Linked DNA regions of Stegostoma tigrinum. The protein of the gene in region 2 interacts with the protein of the main gene of each other region in a pairwise test. Links are inferred from orthologs where the notes say so. Each region holds a gene or a part of one and is shown on either strand. Other genes may lie near its edges. The genes, in order: ubtd1b and mid1.

Evidence for each region.
Region 1: the proteins of mid1 (region 2) and ubtd1b interact in binary tests that used the Homo sapiens proteins (3 or more experiments, as listed by UniProt). The two-hybrid records come from large-scale screens. The link is inferred for Stegostoma tigrinum from reciprocal best matches to the Homo sapiens genes MID1 and UBTD1.

What each region holds. Positions count from the first base shown.
Region 1 is NC_081373.1:12,311,665-12,324,259, forward strand, and holds the start of ubtd1b (ubiquitin domain-containing protein 1), read right to left. Parts: upstream 6,742-12,595; 5' UTR 6,156-6,741; coding exon 6,065-6,155; intron 1-6,064. Other genes in the region: MMS19 nucleotide excision repair protein homolog, read left to right, coding at 8,488-8,572. UniProt on the Homo sapiens protein: May be involved in the regulation of cellular senescence through a positive feedback loop with TP53. Is a TP53 downstream target gene that increases the stability of TP53 protein by promoting the ubiquitination and degradation of MDM2.
Region 2 is NC_081365.1:69,802,724-69,815,681, reverse strand, and holds the start of mid1 (E3 ubiquitin-protein ligase Midline-1), read right to left. Parts: upstream 5,040-12,958; coding exon 4,988-5,039; intron 4,863-4,987; coding exon 4,144-4,862; intron 1-4,143. UniProt on the Homo sapiens protein: Has E3 ubiquitin ligase activity towards IGBP1, promoting its monoubiquitination, which results in deprotection of the catalytic subunit of protein phosphatase PP2A, and its subsequent degradation by polyubiquitination.

The DNA.
Region 1 (12,595 bases), on a different chromosome or scaffold from region 2:
TTCCACTAAATCTTCAGCATAATGTCAATTTGATATGACATTTCAGAGAATTTTTGTAATTTGTGACATACCCTTAAATTGTCTTTCAATACATATCTGTACAATGGCCTTTTCTCTTCCACTACTTGATATAAAAAGTCAGTGGGTGGAAAAAGAGCAGTAACATCACAGAGCCATTTGTCCATCTTAGTACGCACGTCATCTGATTTAACTTTGCACCAGTTGCTTACATAACTTGCAGTCCAAACAAAATACAAGGAGTGTGGATACTTGAGACCATAAACTCCCATGTCAAGTCTATTTACGGTGCTGCAATTATATCTTTATACTTGAGGCTGATGTAGTTCTTCAGAGCTGCCACTTGGACTGCGTCTGAAACCGTTGTTTGCCAGGTTTGTGTTACAAGATCTAAAACATATTGAGCAAGGACAAAAGTGATCTGATGTTCTGAACATGTTTGCATGGCATATTTTAAACAGCATAAAATAAGCAATAAAGTCACAGTGGTTACAGAACTGTCAGTGACTATGTTAGGGAAAAGAACAAAAAGCATATCATCACAAAAATCAAATAAAAGTTTTGAGGAAGAGTCACTGGACCCGAAACGTTAACTGTTTTCTCCTTCACAGATGCTGCCAGACCTGCTGAGCTTTTCCAGCAACTTTGTTTTTGTTCCCGATTTACAGGATCCGCAGTTCTTACAGTTTTTATAAAAATAAACCAGTTGAAGGGCAATTTTACCAACTGTATACATCAGGAAATCCTTTCCTTCCATTGATCTCTTTACTCAAGAAAAAAAATGCAGTAATAAAGGAATTTTTGATTTAAGCTATATGCAATCAACAAAATCAGATGAATTTTGTCTCATTCACTTGAAATATAAGCACTAGTATAAATCTAACAAGAATAAAGTCAATTTTTAAAATAACAAGTGACTGGTTATTAATTATTCAAATGTGTCCAAATAAATTTAATTGCAATACATTTAATTTCTCTGAAGGTTTCAAAGTTGCAGTAACATTGAGAAAAATTAGTTTTTTGGATGGAACATTAAATCGGCTTTTTCTGACACATCTTAAATGACACCCTCCCTGGTTAGTCTAATAAAAGTTTCACGTACATAGGCAAAAAGATGAATAGTAAACTCCATGCGTAATATAAAAGGAATATAGTACTTAAAAGCTCAACAGGTCAGCAAAATCAAATAACTTGAAAAACAAATTTTTCATTTTCCAATACTTCTACAATTCCTGGCGTGTTAACTGCCAATAGTTTAGGGCTATTTAGAGTAATTGATTACTTTTCCAAAGTACAAACAACTTTGCATAATGGAACAACACAAGTTAACCATACAAGCTTGGCAACAGATTTTCTTTTCACCACCCATGGGGCTGACATTTACACCTAGGTAGACAGCAAATCTTTTCAGCTGTTCAACTATGGAAGCAGCACAGTCCAGAAAATCTCAGCTTTGAGTCAGGCCCACACAACAATTTACAACAAGGTCTGTTGGCAGCAATCATAGAAATCCGGTCTCATCTTTGCCCCATTTCTGTCCAATGCTGTTTTGAAAAAAAAAATCAGCTAACTCATGATAGGCCAGTGATCAATCCACTTATGTTCTTAACCTTCAATACTGCATTCTAAAAAGTGGTTGGCCTCAACAAAAATCAGTGATGAGATCCAAGTTTGTGTTCACCCCAATATAATAAGTTAAAATGGGTTTCTGCAACTTCCAGAAATGGTGACAAACCTGAGGGTTTTAAAACCCTCTCCGGTTTTATATCCAGGATCTTTTACATATTGGTCATTAACTGTAAGTATGATGAGTAGTTATGACAGAAGCAGCTTTAGAAAAAACATCAAAAGACAGAATTTAGCATCACGATTACTTGAACAGCTACACTTCGGTTTTTCAACTTGTCTATTGAACCATCATCTTATAATTCCCCATTGATCTAGAGGACATTTTACTTTCACTTGTGGCATATATAAAGACCAGATTCCAGAGTAAAACCAATTACACCAAAATTCACACTTAAAAAGCTCCAATTGACAACTGGTGGAGGAAAAATACATTTCCATAAAAATGTCAAGTTTGCATTCAACGATAGAATTCACTACTTCCAAAATGAAAGCTTCAGAGCAATTCATTGAATTAGAAACGATTGACTAACATTTAAAGCCTTACTCAAGCATCAGCGGAGGCACAAAAAGACAGGATTCAGAGACAACAGAATGACTGACATTGTTATTTTACATCTCAAGTTTATAATTAACCTTCAAATGGAAACCTCTGTTCAACAACCATTTTCTAATTTTGAGACAAAGAAAAGGGCAAGCCAATCAGAATTTCGTATTCTGTAATGAATATTAGATGATGTTTTAAATTAACATGTGCTCTGCCAGTTGATGCATAGTACTGTACTTAAAGCTCAAATAGTGCAGAGCCTTCGTGTTCCCTTCCCCACACCATTATAACATGAATGAATCAAGCACTGGTGTGGTGCCCTGTTTCAGAAGAATTGCTTCACAACATCCCCTTGGAACGAATAGTCACTAGTCGGCACAACATCGTGGGCTGAAGGGCCTGTTCTGTGCTGTACTGTTCCACTTGTTAACACATCCTTTTTGGGTTTTTATGCATTAAGCATGGAATGCGTTGCCAGCAGCAGTTGTGGAAGCAAGGTCGTTGGGGTCATTTAAGAGACTGCTGGACATGCATATGGTCACAGAAATTTGAGGGTGCATACATGAGGATCAATGGTCGGCACAACATTGTGGGCTGAAGGGCCTGTTCTGTGCTGTACTGTTCTATGTTCTATGTTCTATGTTCTAACTAACTGAACATTGTTATGTCTAGTATAGATCATGAAAATTTTGATAAATTTACCATAGGCCCATGTTTCACATAAACTAAGCACCAGATTGACCTGCTCTATTGGGTAGCGACATTTGCAAAACTGAATTAACAGATTTGGTTAACAGTTATAGAATCAAAATCAATTTACAACAGAAGTTTTTTTCTGAGGTACAAAGTAGTCCTAAAAATTGGTGCTGTTCCCATTCATCCTACGGATAAACTACCAAACCATGACCGTTTACTGTTCCCAATCTGATCCAATACCAAAAAGATAGCTAGAAACAAACCAGATATGCTTCCATAGCTTCACCAAAAGCGATTCAGTTGAGTGTACAGTCCTAGACAGCCAAAAGACTAATTTATTGTTGATTTTCCATTCATGGAGTAGACAGCATATTAACGTAGATAAAATAAAAATAAACTTTTTCAAGACACTGCACACAAAAAAAACATTTCAAAAGCAGGTTTTAAATGTTTATTGCAAAGAAAAGAAGCAAAGTAGGGATTTGAAAGAATGGCATTTGGCAGAGTGAGATCACAGAATTAAAGACATTTACAGCATAGGAGATTATTGATTCAAAAAGATTGGACTGGCACATTGTTTGGGCCAGCATGCAAGCATAACAGCATTTGCTAAAAATTGGGTGAAATCTGGATACACAGACACATTTGTCATATCTAGTTTTATAAGAAGGAAAAGAGATGAATCAGTTAATAATGAAGGGCTGAAAGCTCTTTTTGCATTAGTCTTAACAGCCTGGGATAAGAAGCCTTTTCTTTCGTTTATTTCAAAGCTAGACTGTACAATTACAGTATCATCTATAATTAATGAAGCCAGTCACTAACATATCATTCACGATTATCTCCCCATGAACATAGTTGAATGCCTCCAGTGTGTATAAATGTGTATCATAACACTGCAAACTTCATACTTCTATACAAAGGAACCCAGTGAACTGCAGTTGTTGGAAATCAAGTTGCCGGGTTCTGATGAAGGGTCACTGGACCTGAAAATGTTAATTAGGCTCTCTCTACACAAACGCTGCCAGATGATTGCTGGAAAAACTCAATCATATTTTTATACTTCATTCCACTATACAAAAGAAATATCTCCTGTCAGACACGAACAGTGGTACAAATGCAACAAACTACAACGGTCGCTAAGAGATTTACGTACAAATTAAGCTTCCACACAATCTGTCATGGTGCTTACTGTTAGACTGTATCCTAATGTGCAAACTTTCAGAGTTAATTGCAAAACTAGGGTTGATCTGTTAGACCACATGGAGCTCTTGGTTCATCACTTTGGTGCAAATCACCCACCACAATCTTATACCAGACCGCTAGATTGGGAAATAATCCCCAATACGGTTGCTTTTGTCATGCAATATAGAAAGCAATATGTTCTGCTTCCTTACTGCAATCATTTTAAATTATTGTAGAAACATAAGATAAATAAGCATTGCAAAAACTGGAAAGAATATGCTAATATGTAAATGTTACAAATAAAGTTCGTAGAAGACATAATTATGAAAAAGCTCAATTAACAATTTGCAAAGGTATTCAACTTCAACTAGTACTAAATTTGAAGATATAAATCTGCACACAACTTCATTAGTCTTCAAAAGAAAATTGGAAATACATTAAGGATACTAAGTACTGGGCTATGGGAAAGAAAGACAATGTTTTTTTTTGCTATCATTCACTCAGTCAGCTCAGAGACCTCATTCAGTGTTGTTATTGTGACTATAGTCATGTATGTTGGAAATCATAGAACAACGCACAGAAAAATCACTGTCTGCTCTCTCCATGCAAACTCTTCACCAGAGTTAATTACCTCAACCCCCTCCCCTGCTTTTTCCTGAACCCGGCAATTATTTCCCTTTTCAGGCACTAATTACATTTGTGAACCCTAGACAAAGATAAACCGGTTGAATTTTCTGCAGAACATTGCCACTTCACTTATTATATGGAAATTCCTGCCAGGAACTGTTTTGGATAAATATTTTAGTTGACTATTCATCTGAAGCAGCTACAGGTAAATTAAGTGGGGTGTGTCCCTATAGACTTGTCCTCCATTGCAGGATGACGAAAACAGCTTGTGAAATAACTTAGTTACGAATACAGCTTATGAAATACCTGCGTGAATCACAAGCTCCTAACATTCACTTTACTAAATCTGATCATCTTATCTCAGACCCCCAAACTGTAGATCAATGAAAAACTGGGCAAAGTTCTGCTGGGATAGGAGAAGCAGAATGAGGTATTGATACCGGAGGTCTGTTCGCTAATGCCAGTCTACTCAAATCTGACCTTAAGTGTAGGTTAACATGAATATCAGCCACCCAGGTGGGCAAAACAAATAATTTTTCTGGTCGGTAAAGCAATCAACTTTGTTTTGAAAACAGTTAAATAAATTTCTTATGCAAATAAGATTGACATGAAAAATTAATTCCATAAAAAGAAAACACATTCCAGCTACAAAGTAAAATTTTAACCCTTACTATCAACATTACTGAAAATGCTTATTTATCCAAAAATGGCTTTTATTGAATTTGACTATTTCAGGGATAACCAGACTTGCTGGCAGTCACTCAAGCTGTGTGTCTAAGAATCGACCAGATATACAGCAGGTCTGCTGCTATCACAAGCAGCATTCAATCTCCCTGCCCACCTGGGTATAAAACTGGCATCCAGGAAGCAAAAACAGACCTTTGGAGACAAAGCTTTTACATGGGGCAGAATACAGAGGTCAGAGATGAGAGTGGGAAAGAAAGAGCTAGAACAAGTAATTTCACTGATACATATCCAAGGTAAGTTCACCTAAACTGAATGGCTACATTAAAACATCGAGCTTTTATCCTGAAAAAATGATAAATGTCTGAGTATCAGTATCAACACAGGCATAAATCTAACATTAGTAGATAGATGGGCCTTGCCATGTAGCAATGGAAGAAATATAAATAAGGAAGTAGCTTCCAAAAGCAGCGCGTGAACAGACTTCTCATTAATTTAGTGAACTACAATTTGGATGGCGATTCTACTAACACAACACTGACACGATGGAAAATATATTGCATTGCTGGAACTAAAATTATGACCAAAAGTGAAAAAAAGTCCTACGCCATTAGCCCCCTGCTGAGCACGCCCAATCGGAAACACTGGGCGCTATCATAATTTTACACTCTTCTGCTGCCTTACCTGTTTTTCTCCCATTGCCACTCCGTCTCCCTAAGCGATGATGTTGCTGCTGTTGTTGTTGCCGGCGTTGGGTCCCCACGCAGCCTCCCATCAATGATGCCCTTGACCCAGGTGCGTCTCACCCACTAACCGCAAACCCACCTGAAGTCTGGGAGAAACTCGCAGCAAGTCCCCTGGAGCTCATGAATTCATTTTCTTAAAGACTCGCCGTCTATCCCCTCCCAAAAAACGCACACAAAAGAAATCCCACGGTCCACCTTTAAGACCCACCAGTCCGTGCAAAGTTTGGATCCAAGATAATCCCTAACCCACCCCAAAACCCCAGTGCAAACACAGAACTACCCCTCCTCTCTCTCCCAAACCAAGTAACAGCCCGTAACCGGGGCAACCAGTCGGCCCTCACCTACTTTACCTGCTACTGCAAAACTACACCAACATCTCTCATCGCTTCACCAACCTTCCCATCTCAGCCAATAAGGCAGGCTCTCTCGCGCTTTCTCTCCCTCAATGTCACAAAGCAAAAGTTGGTCTAATCTGTGAACATACAATTCTGTCTAGCTTCACTCCATATCTTTCGGAAGCTGAACCAGCAGTGACACTCCACTACCAGCCTTTCCCCACCTGAGCGACGTTACTATCAATGTACACCCACCGGCCCAAAGCGCCTGCGCCGTTGCCTTACCCCGCCCGGTGCACGCTGGGTAACGCTGGCCTCCCACACCTGACGCGCGGCCCACCGCGCACGCGCACGGGCACCTGCCACGCCCCCCCCATCGGCGTACTCTTCCTTAGCAACCGGATGCCAGCCGTTACTAAGGCGACCCCCTGAAACTAGAAATGGGGGAAACTTTACTCTGTGCCATATAATAAGGACCATGGGGTAATCTGGGTAACATCAATTGTTGACTAATTCAGAGCTCCAGTCTAAAATCTTGAGTTCGAGTTTAAAAGATTAAAGCAATTTTGAAAGAATTAAATTTGATCAGGGGTCGCAAGAACTGCAGATGCTGGAGTCAGAGACAATACAGTATGGAGCTGGAGGAACAGATTTCTGATGAAGGGTCTAGGCCCGAAGCGTCAGCTTTTGTGCTCCCAAGATGCTGCTTGGCCTGCTGTGTTCATCCAGCTCCACACTTTGTTATCTTGGATTCTCCAGCATCTGCAGTTCCTATCATCTCAGGAAGAAGATTAGGCTAGTCAACTTCTCAAACCTGCTCTACTATACAATTATATGACAGTTTACCTTATTGTAATCTCAAATCCACATTCCCACCAACCCCAATAACTTTTCATTCCCTTGCTTAAAAAGTACTTGTCAAGGTATTTCTTAAAAATATTCAAAGACGGCATTTTCAGGAACAAAGTTCCATTGTTGCTATACAAATTCAAATAATCATCTCTTTAATTTATTTTTTAAAAATGACGATTTGATCAAATTTACAGACAATACAGTATGGAGCTGGAGGAACACAGGAGGTCAAGCAACATTAGAGGGGCAGGAAACTTTCTGATGAAGGATCTAGGCCCAAAATGTCAGCTTTCCTAAGATGCTGCTTGGCCTGCTGTGTTCATGCAGCTCTATACTTTGTTATCTCTACTCTTCTTCCTGATTTGTACATCATGTGCAGGGTTACATTGTGAAGGCAGAAGGGGAATCGGTTAAATTAAATACACATAGGAACTGCTGGAGAACCCCAGAAGGTTTGACAGCATCAGTGGAGACAGAAACATGGCTAATATTTTAAATACAGTGACTCTTTAAGGAACTAAAGAAGGAAGGAGTGGGTTTTATTCTGTTGCTGGGGTTGGGTTGGTGGGTTAAGGCAACCACAGGGGCAGGTCAGGGAAAGGTTAAGAAGATTTGAGACCAAAATTAGTATGGAACAAAATGCAAAATTTTTATTAATAGGCCAAATGGCCTCCTTTATCCTTTCATGGGATGTTGAGCATCACTGGTATTGCCTTTTTAAGAAGAAAACTGACAGTTCACCACATCATTGTGGCTCACATTTAGGTCAAATCAGGTAAGGATAACACATTTCCTTCTCTTTTGGATAACCCTTGTAGCAATATTTCCATTACACCACCACCTCCCTCTTCTGCATTGTAATTATTCTGTGATTTGAGTATTGTTGAAAAAAAAATCAACTTTGACAAAAGAAGAATTTTTATACTACTTCATGTCTGCTTTTTCAACAATACTGAAGCTTTGGACAGCCAAATAACTGCGTGAGTCCGTTAAAAATGTTTTATCTTCTACATTGAATTCAGTCTCTGTTCCCTTTGACTAACAGAATTAAAATCAAAGCTGTCAAGTGAAGGAGTTTCTCTGTGTAGTCTGCAGAGTAATGAGCATGTGATCTGTGCCATTTGCGGTCACGTGACATCCAGCTCGTGGCGCATGCGCGGTTGAGTGCAGCAGCATGGCCGCCGACATGAGGCTGTTAGGGCTGGTGGAGGAGTTTGTGAGTGGGTTGCAGGACGGGGCTGCCAAGGACCTAGCTACAGGTAGGAATGGAAGTGAATGGTGCTGTGTACAGCTATTGTTGTCTGGGAGGACGAGCTGCTGATGGAGGGGTCCCGGGCGAGGAAGTGGCGCCGCCCGTCTGGCCGTGTCACCCTGGTAACGGCGCACGGACCCCAGTTTCCTGACTGGAATCTGTATCTCTTCTGCGCTCGACAGCCCTCACGTAGGCCTCCCCTAGCTTTTCAGGAATCTGTTCAAGTAATAAGCTGAGTATTGAGCAATTCCCTAGGCAAAAAAATTTCAGTTTAAGGTTTGTCTGAAAAATGGCCAGTGTAATGTTTCAGCACTGCCAGAGTTTCTCGAGTTGACCATCAATTTTGGGAGGTTGGCATCTCTGAGCTAATGTTGAAGCCTAGAGATCTAAACTTTATATAGGATATAAAACTGTCTGACTCTTCTTTTGATCTTAACTCCAATTTAGTGTTTATTTACATGTAAGAACATTAAAAAATGCACGTGACCATACAAACCTTTGAGCCTTCACCACCATTCAGTAAGACTTTCTACCCTAACTCCATCCAACAGTACACCCCCCCGCCATGTTTATCTTTATTTTTTTTAGTATCCAAAAATCAATATTTCTCTGTTTTCAATAAAGCCAATTCTTAGAGCATCTTCTAATTTCTGAAATGGCCTACCCTTTATTCTGATAACAGTGATTCCCTTGGGGGAAACATCCTCCCAGAATATACCCTGTAAAACTCTTCAAGAACTTCAGGGTTCCAATAAGATTTTTCATTTTTTTAAACCCCAAAAAACATGGGCCAAGTTTACTGTATCTCTCCTCTTTGGACATTTTCCTCACTCCAGAAATCACATTTAATAAATCTTTGTTGCACTCCCTTGAATACAGATATATCTTTCGTTGAATAAGGAGACAGAATTGCCCTCACTGGTAACCTAGTGACAGTAATTTTGGGTTTTTAATATCTAAATGGATTGAGGCTCTCTTCTCTAAGTTTTTTTTGATTGTGATAAAGCAATGTCCTGATCCCATATTTCAGGCTGCATCTAAGTATGCAAGCTGATTCTTTCAAAGCCAGGTGGATAAAATTAGTTTTACTGAAATTCTGTTTTCTACATTTGACCCCATGATCCTTCCAGAATGTGTTCTTCTATGTTCCTTTGGACTCAGTACTGCAGTCCTTAATGCAGAATGGCCATGTTTAGAACCAGATTCTGAGGAACTGTTAATTTAGGGGAGCAAACTTTATTGGGAAAACAGAGAAAATTGGAGAGGAAAATAAACATTTGTCACTTTGAATGAGAAGCATTTAACAATTTTATAACCGTTCTTGCAATTTAGCTAGAAATACTAAAAATGGCATTTTTAAAATTTGTCTATTGGTAGTGAATTCATTTATTTGTTTTCGCTGACTTTCCCCATTATTCTCATTGAAAAAAAAAGCTATTATGTCAGATGGGTTATCGGTTTCAAAGTGTCAAATTACCTTTCATTAAAATTGATTGCAGGAACTTGATGCTTCTGGATCCAGCAAAACAGTCAATGATAGATAAGACCTTTGAATTCCAAATAATGGCATGCTTTACTGGAATTTCACAGATAGCAGTAATGTGGTATTGATTTGAAAATTATTGATTCACTTAACTTTCCTTGTGGCTGGGAGTTTAGGGCTCTTAAACACCGCATCCACCAGTGATTTCTGCCTTGGGGCAGCAATCTATTCTTAATGTTGCACTGATGTATGTTGCACTTCTTAAAAATGTGGATGTTATGAAATCTCAATTAAATAATAACGTTTGCGATTAGTAATATATACAGGATGGAGAAACTTAGATTACAAATTGGAAAAAAAACTTTCCCTTGTCACAGTCATCGTCATACCACACAGAAACAGACCATTCAGCCCAACCAGTCCATGCTGACCCTAGTCCCACCCGCTTGCGATTAGTCCATATCCGTCTTATTCATGGACTTATCTAAATGTCCTTTAAATATTGTAATTTTACCTACATCCATGAATTTCTCTGGCAGTTCATTCCAAACAAGAATAGCTCTCGGTGCCAAAAATGTTGCCCCTCTTTTTTTCTTAAACAATCTTTCTCCTCTCAGCAAAAGATATCCCCCCCCACTCCTTGTCTTGAAATCCCCCATCTCAAGGGAAAGACACCTACCATCACCTTTATGATTTTATAAGCTCCGATAAGGTCAACCCTCAACCACCTATGCTCCAGTAGAAACAGGGGTCCCAGCTTCTCCTTATAACTCACATGCTCCATTCCTGCTGAACTTTTTCTGACCTCTCTCTGGCTTAATAATATCCTTCCTATGACAAGGCAACCTGGACTGGACGCAGCACTCCAGAAGATGCCTCGCTTAACGCTCCCTCGTTATTTTGCCAGATCAAAAAAGTTTTGACAATGTAATTTTGCTTTTTTGTGAGCATTTCTTCTGTTGTTTGACTCTTGGCAGTGCTCCTACAAGAAGTTTGGAAGAAGAGTTATATTCAACTCAAAGTATTAGCTCCGTTCCATATTCCACAAATGCTGCCTGACCTGATTATTTTATATATTTGTTTTTTATTTCAAATTTATACCATTTGTAACAATATAGAATCCCTAGAGTGTGGGAACAGGCCATTCAGCTCAATGAGTCCACACCAACTCAGAAAGGAGCATTCCACCCAGATTCACCCCTCATCCCTGCACCCCCATCACCAATCCACCTAATTTAGCCACCCCTGGACACTATGGGTAATTTCGTATGGCCAATTCACCTGACCTGGACATCTCTAGACTGTGGGAGGAAACCCATGCAGACATGGAGTGTGCAAACTCCACACAGAGTTCCTCGGGGCTGGAATTAAACATGGGTCCCTGGTGCTGTGAAGCAGCAGTGCCAACCACTGAGCCACCCTGCCACCCTATTTCTGCAAGTCTTGTCTTTTCAAACTATAGTTCCAGGTTTACATACTGTTTTGCTAGCCCTCAATGTTAGTCACCACCTCCGTCCTTACTTAACTCTGGTATTGAGGTTAATTGCTGCATCTTTACAGTTGAGCTTGGTTCTGTGAATGTTATTGATTGACTGGCACAGTGAACAAAGCTGCTGTTCTTGAAAAAGTCTGTGGAATCTTTGATATTTGTCGCAACTGAGAGTTACGTGTTGATTGCATTGTGCACTCCGCTTCTAAGAGTACAACATTCATAGGAATATTTTGTTTGAAAACCTTTGAATTCGGAAGATATCTTTTCTACTTATTTGCAATCACAGATATATTCAGGAACAACAACAGATTTGATAAACACTTTTTGGTAGCTTTTACCCTGAGGAGGAACTTATTTGCGAGTTTGGGCTGATATGACTAAGCAGTGTTTTTCTTAGAAAGAAGCACACTTCCATTTCTAAAGAGACATAGAAACACAGAAAATAGGAGCAGGACTAGGTCTTTTGGCCCTTCAAGACTGATCCATCATTCAATACGAACATGCTGATCATCCCACTCAGGATCCTCCCTAACCCATGGATCATTTTCGCTGTAAGAAATATATCTAACTCTCCTTTAAAGCATTCAATGTTTATGCTTCCAGAACTTTCTGCAATTGTGAATTCCACAGGCTCATCACTCTCAAGTTTGAAGAAATTTCTCCACTTCTCAACTCTTAATGACCTACCATGTATTCTTGGACTGGGGCCCTTGGTTCTGGACTCCCAGGTCATTGGATATCTCTTCCTTTGGTTTGCCCTGTCTAGTCCTGTTAGAATTTTAAAGGTTTCTTTGCCCCGCCCCCCCTGCCCCGCCCCCAACTCTGGTGGATATAGTCCTGTCCTAACCTAACCAATCCAATCTCTCTTCATATGTCAGTTCTGCCATCCCAGGAATTAGTTTGTTAAACTTCTGTTGCACTCCTTCCACTGTCAGAATATCCTTCCTCTGATGAATATGCCAGAACAGCACAGAATGCTGCAGGTGTGGTCTCACCAAGGGCTGGTACAATTGCAGCAAGAAAGAGATCCCTGCTCCTGTGCTTGAATTCTTTCG
Region 2 (12,958 bases):
CCACTATTCCTTTGATTCCAGAGTTTAAATTATGCCACATAGAATCAACCACACCACTCCTATCAACCCTCTCTGTTACTCCAAAGAACTCAATCAATCAAATACATTTTCCATATAACTAATCCAGGCTTTCATTTGTTAGTTGTAGGAACAGGAGTAGGCCAATCAGCCCATTGAGTCTGCTTGACCATTTAATACAATCTTTTTCTCATTCATTCATGGGATGAGGGCATCATTAGTCAGGCCAGCATTTATTGCCCATCCCTAATTGCCCAGAGGGCAGTTGAGAGTCAATCACATTGCTGTGGGTCTGGAGTCACATGTAGGGCAGACTGGGTAAAGATGGCAGTTTCCTTCCCTGAAGACTTTAATGAACCAGATGGGTTGTTCTAACAATCAACAATGGATTCACGGTCATCACGAGACTCTTAATTCCAGATATTTATTGAATTCAAGTTGCACCATCTGCTATGGTAGGATTCAAGCCCAGGTCCCCAGAAGATCATCTGGGTCTTCATCATATTGCTTGAACACTTACACACATGAGCGCTGTAACACCTTGTCATTGATGAACAAAAATGATCAACCACTCCTTTAAACATATTGAAAAACTGAGCTTCCACATACATCTCAGGGAAAAAAATCCCAAAGATTTGCCACTGTCAGGATTAAACAGAATCCTAAATGGTGTCCCTCGTATTTATAAATTGTGTCCCCTGGTTCCAGACTCTCCAACCAGGGTAAATAACATATGTATTTACCCTGTTGCTCCTTTTGGTTTCAATGATATTATGTCTCACTCTTCATAACTCTAGAGAGAATACAGGCCCAGTTTGGTCACCATCTATTTATAGGACAGTCGCACCTCCCCGGGAGCAAGTACAGTGAATCTTTGCTGTACACCCTCTATAGTGGTAAAATCTTTCCTGAGGTAAAGCGGACCAAACTGCACACAGTACTCTCCATGTGCAGTCAAGCCTAACTTCTCCACAGTTGAAGCAAGACTCCACTGCTCCTGTTCTCAATCCTCTTGGAATAAAGGCTAACATTCCATTATCCTGCCGAAGAGCTTATCGAACATGCATGTTAGCCATCAGTGACTTTTTGACAAGGAATGTACATTTATACTTGCCAGCCTATCAGCGTTTGCAAAATATTCTGTACATCTGCTCCTCCTTACACTTTTCCACGTTATATTGCATCTACCATACCCTCGACCAAACACTACACACTTCTAAATCCTCCTGGATTGCTGCAACGATATATTCAAACCTCGACAAAAGAAAGGCACCAAAAGGAGAAGAGAGTCATTGATCTTATTGTAAGAGTTTTCTAGCTTCAAGGCTCAAAGCTTCTGCCTCAGAGACTAGAATACTAGCGCTGGGCCAAAGGCTCAACATACTGAGAACAGTTGAGAACATGTACTTTTTCTTGCCTTGTGAAAAAAGAAATGAGCTCAGGATGAGCCCCCCCCGCCAAGGAATGCAACATGTTTCAAAAGTGCTGTTAGTCAGTATTGAAAATACTTAATAATGAATTAAGATGTAAAAATGCCTTCACTTTCATAAAAATGTACCTCAGCTTCATGAAAAGCTTTTAGTGTCCTGAACTTAGATAACAGCACTCAGTTGAATCATATTTATAGACAGGCAATACAATTGATGGCACTCTCTGCCATTTAAGTTTCCAAATTTATCATGCTGGTCATTTTCAACTCCCAGCCTTATTCATCAGGCAGAAATATGGAAGAACATGACAAATAAATGGGAGCTTCTCAGTAAATGAAGGCAGTAGTTGCTTCTCAGTGGTAGCCCCCTCACGATGGGATGGGGGTAATGTGTTCAGGTCACACTCCAGAGCACGAGACGCAGGCTGGAACACCAGTGCAGTACTGAGGAAGTGCTGTACTGTCAGAGGGGCTGTCCTTTTGGATCAGACATTAAACCAAGACCCTGTCTTCCCTCTTGGACGGGAACAAACACAATCCCATTATGCTACGTGAAGATGAGGAGGATTTCTGGTGCCCAGTGTATCCCTTCCACAACATCACTGCAGTAGATGATCTGATTATTTATACTACAGTTTGTTTTGGACAAGGCTGTGTCATACATCCGAAATGGCCACAGCCTCTCAATTCATTGCAGGATTTATCTGGAGAGCTACAATATTTGGAATGCTCCGGTGCCATGAGGAGGCGTTAACTAAGTATTACTCAAATCAAAATTGGGGACGGGAGTTATGAAACTTGGAAAAAGGACACTCAAGGAAGGGACGGAGAGGATAAGCAAAAAAAAAAATAGAATGCATTGGAAAGTCAGCAGGGTATGACAAATAGAAAGAATCCTGGAAGAGGTGACAGAGAGTAAGAGTGAGAGGAAAAGAGCCAATTGGGATACAAAGTAAAAAATGTGAAAGAAAGTACAGCAGTGAGAGCTCAGGAAGTGATAGCCTGGAATAAGGAGGAACAGACTTAGCAGAGGCGGAAATGAAAGATAAGCAACTCATTGTACAGAGATGGATATTTTCTTTTAAAATTCAATCTTGAAATGCGAGCATGATTGACGAAGTTGCCTTCATTGCCCCTGGATTCCCTGAGGGGCGGTAGGTGTCCTCCTTAAGTTGCAGCAGTTTAATGCAACTTGGAGGCTTGAGAGGCTATTTCATAGGGAGCCATTCATCTTGGCAAGGGACAGGAGCCACAGAACTGAATCCCAATGCCCCACACCCTACGCCCCCCCAGAATCTGCCGATCAGCAATGGCTCCCCCCACCCCACCAAATCTTACAATTCCAGCAAAGGCCAATTTCTGAAGCTGCTGTAGAGTCAATTCTGGATTTCCATGACCCTTTATGGGATGGGGTTACGTAGGGGGGATGGGTTCTGCAGGGAGTAGGGGGGTCACATCATTTGTCTGGGTTCAGAAGAATCATACCACGTAGCGGAATCAGCCAGGGGCAGATTGCAGCCTGGCGCACATTGGTAGGAGAACAAATATTCCCTATTTTCACCAGCACTCTGACAAAGAACAAATAAGGGCAAAATACAGGAGGGTTGGGAACCCAACATGATGAGGTGGGTGAGGGCTGTTGTAGAGCATAACAATCTGTTTCTATGCCGTGGGCATCGGTATTTGTGACTAAAACTGTCCGGAGATCCAAAAGTGTGCAAACTGTGATCTGCCATTGGGTTCAGAACAGTGCAGCAAATTTCCTTTACACCCAGAGAATGTAAAACCATTAGTCAGAGTCAGAACTGATCATAGAATTCCTCAGTGTGGAAGCAGGCCATTCAGCCCATCAGATCCACTCCGACCCTCTGAAGGACATCCCACCCAGATCCCCAACCTGCAACCCTTCATTACCCATGGCTAACACACCTAGCCTGCACATCTTTGGACTGTGGGAGCAAACCCACACAGACACGGAGAGAATATGTAATCCCCACACAGACACCTGAGGCTGGAATCAGACTCAGATCCCTGGTGCAGTGAGGCAGCAGCTCCGTCCACTGAGCCACTGTGCCGAGACTGTCAGAGATGTAACAGAAGAGAAGATAGGAATTATCCATTGCAAATGATTTGGTCAATCACCAGAAAGAGGTAAAAAAGTGTGTACACAAGTGATCTCTGCACAATTGAAAATAAACCTTCATTTGAGTCTCATAAAGGTAAGCTTCAACTTTTTTAACACAATATTATTCTACACAATGATGTTTCCTTGTTGTTCTTTTGCTTACTTTAAAAATTAAAAACAGAGGGACAAATCTCTATGCGGTGAACTGCAATTAAGGTTTTTGACTCCGTTCCGATTCTAATGTCTTTCCGATTGAGCGGATCCCCTTCTGCAAAAACAGCACCAGTCAAACTGCTTGCTTCACTCTCGGCTTTCCCAATCCCTGCTCGGTTACAATGGGAAGCACCCGCTCGTCGGTCGCAATCTCTTAACGCAAGTCGACTGCGGGCTTAAGCCAGGCTGCGCTGCAACAAAAATCCACATGCATTTATGTAGCGCCCTCGATGCGCTGAAGCATTCCTAGGTGCTTCGCAGGAGTGCAAGCAGGCAACATCCGACACATTCCACCCTCTGGGAATGCTCCGTCAGACAGATGAGAGAGAACTGAAAGGTCGGAGTGAAAGCCACATACCTTTATTTTCTCAAAGCGATCTCCGAGTGCTGCCACTTGGTGGTCTCGGTGACGCCCCACCAGCTTGCAGAGAGCACAGATGAGCTGCTCGTCGGTTACGCAGTACATGTTGACCTTCTCGCTCTCGTGCTCCAGGCACATGAGGCCACGGAGATGCGAGTCGGGCACGGGCTCGATGAGCCGGTGCCCGGTGAAAGGTTTCTTGCTCGGGTGGGTGGCCTTCAGGCACCCGTCGCAGTAGGAGACCTCGCAGGTCACACAGGTTTTCACAGCCGCCCGCGGGGGGTCCTGCTCGCAGAACTGGCACGGGATGCGCTCCACCGCAGTCATGGCGCTGCCGTCGAAGGGGCGCTCGCGCCGGCTCTCGCCCGGGGAGTTGGGACCACTGACCGTGGATGCCTTCTGAAAGCGGTCGATGATGTTCTGTAAAGTGACGTTACGCTTCAGCCCCTCTAAACCGCGGTGGTTGAGGGCAATGACATAACGGCACGTCGGGCACTGGAAGGCAGCAATTGACTCCACGCTCTCGTTCGACGCACAGTGAGAAACCAGGATGCGGTGGGCGCAGCTGAAACACAGGCTGTGGGCGCACGGCAGAAGCAGCGGGTCTTCGAAGAGCTCCAGACAGATTGGGCAGGTCAGTTCCGACTCCAGTGTTTCCATCTTCAGGCAAAGCAATCCTGTGTCGTCAGCAAAATCCAGGGAAGCTGGCGAGCTATCTGGAAAGGCAACACAGGATTGGATTAGACGACATTGTGCACGTGCTGGATGGAGGAAGTGAGGGGGGGGGTGATGCGGGGGGAAAAGAAACGCGGGGCTCAATTTAGGGAGATTGCCGACTTACGCTGCAGCCCGGGTTCTGCCCCTTGCCACGCTACAGCCCCAACGCAACCCATCGCGGTTACGAGCCAGCTGGACTGAGGTGTGCAAGATCGCCACTGCATCGCACAATCCAAGTATTTCGATCCCTCTCTCCCCCTGCCCATCACTGTGCACAGTCAGGAAGGCTTCCCCTGAACATTGGCCGGGCAGTAACACCCCCCACCCACTGCTCGGTGCCCGGTTTGACAGCCACTGACTGCTGCAGGCAGACAGCTCGGTCAGGCAGAAACCCTCTACCTCTGCACACACTGATACATCCGAGCTGTGCGCTCCATTCACCAGAGGCAGCATTAGAGAGGGCAGCTGCGCGCCCTCTCCTCCCCCAGGCCCTGTCCTGCTGCAGGACCTCCTAACCTTTCCCGAAAAAAAAACACTGCTTCATTAGCGGGGGCTTAGGCACTCATTAGTGAGCTGGAAACAGTGAGCGAGGGAGAGCGAGATTGTGGGAAGGGTGGCGGCTAGAAAAACAAAATCAGTGGAACTACGCACAGCCCAGTAGCTCTAGGCATCGTTAATTACAAACGAGTTGGCAGCAAGATTGGTAAGATTTTACTGAGGGCTAAAATAGTAGCTCAAAAGAAGCCATCACTTCTGTGAAAATGTTCTTCTCTCTATCGACAATTACAGTCAGCACAGTGATCACTGCAAACATTGTGTAGAATTACAACAGCAGTTTCTAGGTTCAAAAAGGGTCTCTTCGTGAAACAAGCCCCTGGGTGCTGCAGGCTGTGTGACAGTACAGTGTATAATCCCAGTGTGAAGGCTATGAATCCACATTTCCAACCTTACAAGGGTAGCCAATGTGACGATCACATTATCAACGCAGTAACAGGCTTCACATTGGGTTGGGGGGTCCCACCAATCAAAATTTCTCACTTCAGTTACTCCAGAGGGTCAACCCCTTTTCACTTAAAAAACAGTTTGAGCCTGGGATTATTCTCGCCTCACCTCAAACTGTTCCAAACATGACCTTTGATTGTTCTGAGCTACCACAAAGCCCCCTCTAATTTACCAGAGCAGTAAACCGAAAGAAATCATAACGGCGGAGGTGCCACTAATCCCTAACTGCATCGCATAATTCATAAGAAATTACTTTGAGTGTTAAAATATTTTGAGTTGCAAGTGCTGGTGGAATTCGAAGATTTAAATGAGGCATCTCCTCTGCACCATGAGATTTGACAAGTTGGCAAAGATGATATGTGAGGAAGGAGAGATCGGAGAGGAAGGGGATTTCATGAATTGAATTTCATGGCAGTAAAAGACTTTGGGACATCCTTACAACTACTTTTGGAATGTCGCCCCTTTCAAATGTAGGAAACCAATTTGTGCACAGCCAGCTATGGTAAACAAAGGAATGAGATAGTGACCAGCTAATTTTGGCTTGCAACGCTAGTCGAGGGATAAATAGTGGCCAAGGCACTGAGTGTGACTCTGCTGTGAATGGTGTCTCAGAATGTTTTATAGAGCATAGAACATTACAGCGCAGTATAGGACCTTCGGCCCTCGATGTTGCGCCGACCTGTGAAACCAATCTGAAACCCATCTAACCTACACTATTCCATTATCATCCATATGGTTATCCAATGACCATTTAAATGCTCTTAAAGTTGACGAGTCTACTACTGTTGTAGTGGCTGGTTGAAAGTCATCAGGGCCTCGGACTCAACACCTCAGTTGAAAGACAGCACCTCTGACAGTATGGTACTCCCTCACTTCTCCTCCTGTTTATTAGCCTTTATTATGTCAAGTATTTGGAGTGGGGCATGAACCCATGAGCTGTTGATCCAGAGGTAAAAGTGAGGAAGCATCAGCTCAAATCCTTATCCTGATGCCTCTCTCTTTCTTGAACCAAAGTCCAGCATTTTCAAACAAAGGCACTATGGGGGTCATTTTATAAACTTACCAGTGCTGACAAGAAAGTGTCTTTATTTTGCTGCACAGATTCTAAAATGGTTTCTTGGTGTGGTCATGACTGATGGTAACAGTAAGTGCAGTTAAATCAACTTGTATCTCTTCGAGTAGAAAACGCCTTGAATCTTGCGCCTTTCATCAGTTAATTAATCATTGATCTTCAGCCCAACTCCATTTATCTGCCTTTGCTACAAAGGCCTTGGTAAACTTGGTATCTGCTCCAGCAATTCCTTTGATTTTAAAACGCTTACCCTAATTTTCAAATCCCTCCCTTGGCCTCAACTTCCTGAAGTTTGAAATCTTCTCTTACAACTCTCCAAGACCTTGATCAGATGGATCGATTGGCCAAGGAGTGGCAGATGGAGTTTAATCTAGACAAATGAGAGATGCTATATTTTGAAAAGGCAAATCAGGGCAGGTCTTATACACTTAATGGTGAGGTCCTGGGGAGTGTTGCTGAACAAAGAGACCTTGAAGTGTGGGTTCATAGTTCCTTGAAGATGGAGTTGCAGGTAGACAGGGTAGACAAGAAGCCGTTTAGTACGTTTGCCTTTTTCGGGTAAGTGCATTGAGTACAGGAGTTGGGACATCATATTGCAGCTGTACAAGACATTGGTTAGGCCACTTCTGGAATAGTGCACACAATCCCGGTCACCTTGCTATTGGAAAGATATAGTGAAACTTGAAAGGGTTCAGAAAAGATTAACAAGGATGTTGCCAGGGTTAGATGGTTTGAGGTATATGGAGAGGCTGGATAGGCTGGGACTATTTTTCCTAGGGCATCAGAGGCTGAGGGGTGACCTTAGTTAAGTTTATAAAATCATGAGGGGCATGGATATGGTCTTTATCCCAGGATGGGGGAGTGCAAAAACTAGTGGGCATAGGTTTAAAGTGAGAGGGGAAAGATTTACAATGGGACCCAAGACCTCTTGCACGCAGAGGGTGGTGCATGTATGGAATGAGCTGCCAGAGGAAGTGGAGGAGGCTGGTACAATTACAGCATTTAAAAGGCACCTGGATGGGTACACGAATAGGTTTGGATTTAGAGGCACATAGGTCAAATGCTGACATATGGGGTCAGATTAATTTAGAATATCTAGTTGGCATGGACGGGTTGGATCAAAAAGAGTCTGTTTCTGTACTGCATATCTCTATGACTCTATAAGTGCATTCTTCCCATTCTGGCTTCACACACCTCCCCTAAAGTCATTGATGGCTATGCTTTTAGCTAGCGAGGCCCCAGGACCTGAAATTACATCCCTAAAACCCTCTTTCTCTTTGTTCCTTTTGACACTTATTAAAACCTGCCACTTTGAATAAGCTTTCGGTCACCTGTGTTGCTGTCTTTTTATGTGGCTGTTTGAGTTTTCTTTCTAAGTTCACTCCAGTGAAGCACTAGATGATGATTTACTGCATTGAGACTGGCAAACAACAGTAATGCACATTGATAAAATGGTCCTTTGCCCAAACGAAAACCCCTTTGGCAGCATAATAAAAAGAAATCTACTTCTTACGTTTTATTCTTATTAAAGTCTTGAGACAACGGTACAAACTCACTTGTGAGAGCTGTGTGAAAGTGACTGACTAGTTGGTCCCTTGTGGGAGAATTTCCTGACCCATTCTCTTGTTATTTTACATGCTCAATGTGCACTTATAACATTGGTTCAAATAAAGGACAACAACACAGCAAATTACCCCTGCACAGATCCATTAAGTTTCACGGAATGGTGGTCTGCCATCTTCCAGTTGGCCACTGTAGATCTTTATTAAAACTGACATAAACCATTAACTGGCTGTTTTCTCAACCTGAAATGAATGATTGACTGGGTTAAACATTGCTGGCATTGGCAGGATCCTTATTTTGCCTGATGTACTGCCGTGTATTTAAACTTTCTGCGACAGAACTGTGTCTAAAGCCACAGCACTGAAATCTTTAAATATCTAGCACTCTGAAGTGTGTATGTGTATGTGTATCCATGTGTGTCAGAGGGTGTGTGTTGTAGGATGTGGGAAGTCGAAAATATTATTTATGTCCAAGCCATGACTGCAAGCATCCCCAGGATCAATCTGGAGCCTTAGGTATTTAAACTTAATCTTCTAAACACTAAATGTGAACAATCTAAGAATAATCAAAGACAATTGATAGGAATCACTGAATGACAATTGAATACTTCTGTCCATTCTTCACAAAGTGGATGGGGAAGACTTGCATTTTGGGGTAAGAGGTCATGTACTGAAATTTCCAGGATTAATGTCCAACCCTACACTCCCAACTGTTCAAGGTGGAGACACCTCGCACGGCATCCCGCCCCATGACGCCTCACAGAAACTAGGAATGGGCAGTAAATGCTAGCATTGCCAACACCACCCATAGGCTGCAAAGCAAGAAAATACAACGTGAGAAGTGAAATTTGAATTTGCTACAGAAAAATATCCTGAGCAGCTTTGTACGGATTTGTGATCAGTCAGAATGGGAACGATGCAGAGGAGTGAAAATTTTCAAATGTTGACTCTTTGTCGGCACTAACTGATATAAACTGCAGAAACAAAGAGAAAGAGTGGCCTGAAGAATGACAAACAAATGAACAAAAACATATACATGAACATGAAAAGGGAGACAAACAGGAAGATGACCTGTAAAATGCTTAAGTGATAACAGGAGATGCTTAAATTCCAGAATTGATTTTATTTGTTCATAAAGAGTGGGGTGTCTCAGGCTGGGTCAGCATTACTGCCCATCCTCAGTTGCCCTGGAGAAAGTGGTGCTGAGCTCAGTTCTTCACACTGTGCAGTCCTTGGGACGTAGGGGCTCTCAACGCTGCTTTGAAGGGAGTTCCAGGATATTGGCTCAGCACAAAAGGAAGAGATAGCAATATATTTCCAAACCAGACTGGTGCGTGGCCTGGAGGGAAACTTTTGGAGTTGTTCCCATTGCATCTGCCCCTGTCCCACGAGGTAGTAGAGGTCAGGAGCTTGGAAAGTGCTGAAGAAGCCTTGCTAAGTTATGGCAGTGCATTTTGTAGATAGTACAGACTCTGCTACCAAACAGCAAAGGTGGAGGGGGTGAATGCTTGTGGATGTGGTGCCACACAGGCAGGCTCCTTTGTCGTGGGTGGTGTCAATCTACTTGTGGGTTCTTGAAGCTGCAACCGTCCAAGCAAGTGTGGAATATTCCGTCACACTCCTGATTTGTGCCCCAGAGATGGTGGACAAGCTTTGGGGAGTCAGGAGGAGAGTTCATCATCACAAAATTCCCAGGCTCTGACCTACTCTTGTAACCATAGTATTCATAAAGCTAGTCCATTTCAGCTTCTGGTCAATGATAACTCCTAAAATGTTGAAAGTGGGAAATTCAATAATGCTAATACCATTGAATGTCAAATGGGCGTTAATTAGATTCACTCAAAGAAGAACAAAGAACAAAGAAAATTACAGCACAGAAACAGGCCCTTCGGCCCTCCAAGCCTGTGCCGCTCGAGATCCTGTCTAACCTGTCATCTATTTTCCAAGGGTCTGTGTCCATTTGCTCCTTGTCCATCCTTGTATCTGTCCAGATATATCTTAAAAGACGCTAACGTGTCTGTGTCTACCACCTCCGCTGGCAACGCATTCTAGGCACCCACCACCCTCTGCGTAAAGAACTTGCCATGCATATCTCCCTTAAAAACTTTCCTCCTCTCACTTTGAACTCGTGACCCCTAGTAATTGAGTCCCCCACTCAGGGTGGATACAAGAAGCTTTTTCCCAGTCTACACCCCTCATGATTTTGTAGACCTCAATCAGGTCCCCCCTCAATCTCCATCTTTCTAATGAAAATAATCGTAATCTACTCAACCTCTCTTCATAGCTAGCACCCTCCATACCAGGCAGCATCCTGGTGAACCTCCTCTGCACCCTCTCCAAAGCGTCCACATCCTTTTGGTAATGTGGCGACCAGAACTGTATGCAGGACTGTAAATGTGGCCAAACCAAAGTCCTATACAACTGCAACATGACCTGCCAACTCTTGTACTCAATACACCATCCGATGAAGGAAAGCATGCCATATGCCTTCTTGACCACCCTATTGACCTGTGTTGTCACCTTCAGGGAACAATGGATCTGAACACCCAGATCTCTCAGTTCATCAACTTTCCCCAGGACTTTTCCATTTACTGTATAGATCACCCCGAATTAGATCTTCCAAAATGCATCATCTTGCAGTTGCCCGGATTGAACTCCATCTGCCATTTATCTGACCAACTCTCCAGTCTATCTATATTCTGCTGTAATCTCTGACAGTCCTCTTCACTATCTGCTACTCCACCAATCTTAGTGTCATCTGCAAACTTGCTGATCAGACCACCTACACCTTCCTCCAAATCATTTACGTGTATCACAAACAACAGTGGTCCCAGCACAGATCCCTGTGGAACACCACTGGTCACAGGTCTCCAATTTGAGAAAGCCCCTTCTACTACTACTGACTCCTGTTGCCCAGCCAGTTTTTTATCCATCTAGCTAGTACACCCTGGACCCCATGTGACTTCACTTTGTCCATCAGCCTGCCATAGGGAACCTTATCAAACACCTTACTGAAGTCCATGTATATGACATCTACAGCCTTTCCCTCATCAATCAACTTTGTCATGTCCTCGAAGAATTCTATTAAGTTGGTAAGACATGACCTGCCCTGCACAAAACCATCACTGATATGCCCATTTTCTTCCAAATGGGAATAGATCCTATCCCTCAGTATCTTCTCCAGTAGCTTCCCAACCACTGACGTCAAGCTCACTGGTTGATAATTACCTGGATTATCCTTGCTGCCCTTCTTAAACAAGGGGACAACATTAGCAAGTCTCCAGTCCTCCGGGACCTCACCCATGTCTAAGGATGCTGCAAAGATATCTGTTAAGACCCTGGCTATTTCCTCTCTCGCTTCCCTCAATAACCTGGGATAGATCCCGTCTGGACCAGGGGAATTGTCCACCTTAATGTCTTTTAGGATACCCAACAATTCCTCCTTCCTTATGTCAACTTGACCTATAGTAAGCAAACATCTATCCCTAACCTCAACATTTGTCATGTCCCTCTCCTCTTATTGAAGATGGTCGTCAACCAATTTGTTTGGTGCAAATGCTACATTCCACCAGTCAGCCCAAGCCTGGATATTGTCCAGATCTTGCTGCATTTGAAAATGGGCTGCTTCATTATTTGAGGGGTCACAAATGGTGCTGAACATTGTGCAATCATCGGTGAACATCTCCACTTCTGACCTTATGATGGAAGGAAGGTTACTGATGGAGCAGCTGCAGATGGTTGAGCCTAGAACACTAGCCTGAGGAAATCTGTTGGGTCTTAGCTCGGTTGTAGAACTGCCACCTCTGAAACAGAAGGTTGTGGGTCACATCGCACTTTAGAGACTTGTGTACTTGATCCAGATGCACCAAACAGATTCATAAACAAACAAAATGGAACAGATACCCTGAGAAACATTTAAGCACAGTAGTCGTGCCCCACCTCTGGGACAGGAAATCTGGGTTCAAGTCCCATCTAGTCCAGAGGTACGGTGTCACATCTCTGAACAGGTTGACGAGTAAATGTCTACCCTGAGGAACTTCTGCAGTGCTATTCTGGACTGAAATGACTGACTTCCTACAGCCACAAACATCTTCTGTGTGCCAAGTGTGACTCCAACCAAGAGAGAGTTTGCCCCACTGATTCCAGTTTTGCTCGGGATCTTCGATGCCACATTCTGTTGATGTCAAGGGCAGTCACTGTCACCTCACTTCTGGAATTCAGCTCTTTCTGTTTATGTTTGAACCAAGGCTGTAATGAAGTCTGGAGTGGAGTGGTCCTGATAGAACCCAGTGAGCAAGTACCACTCAACAGCACTGTCAATGGTGTCTTCCATCATTTTGCTGATGCCATCTTTTCAATGGGATGTTAAGTTGGCAATCTGCTTTTCAGGCAGGTATAAAAGATCAACTGACACTAAGGTGGTGACCATTAGTTACCCATGTTGCTCCCTTCCTCAAAC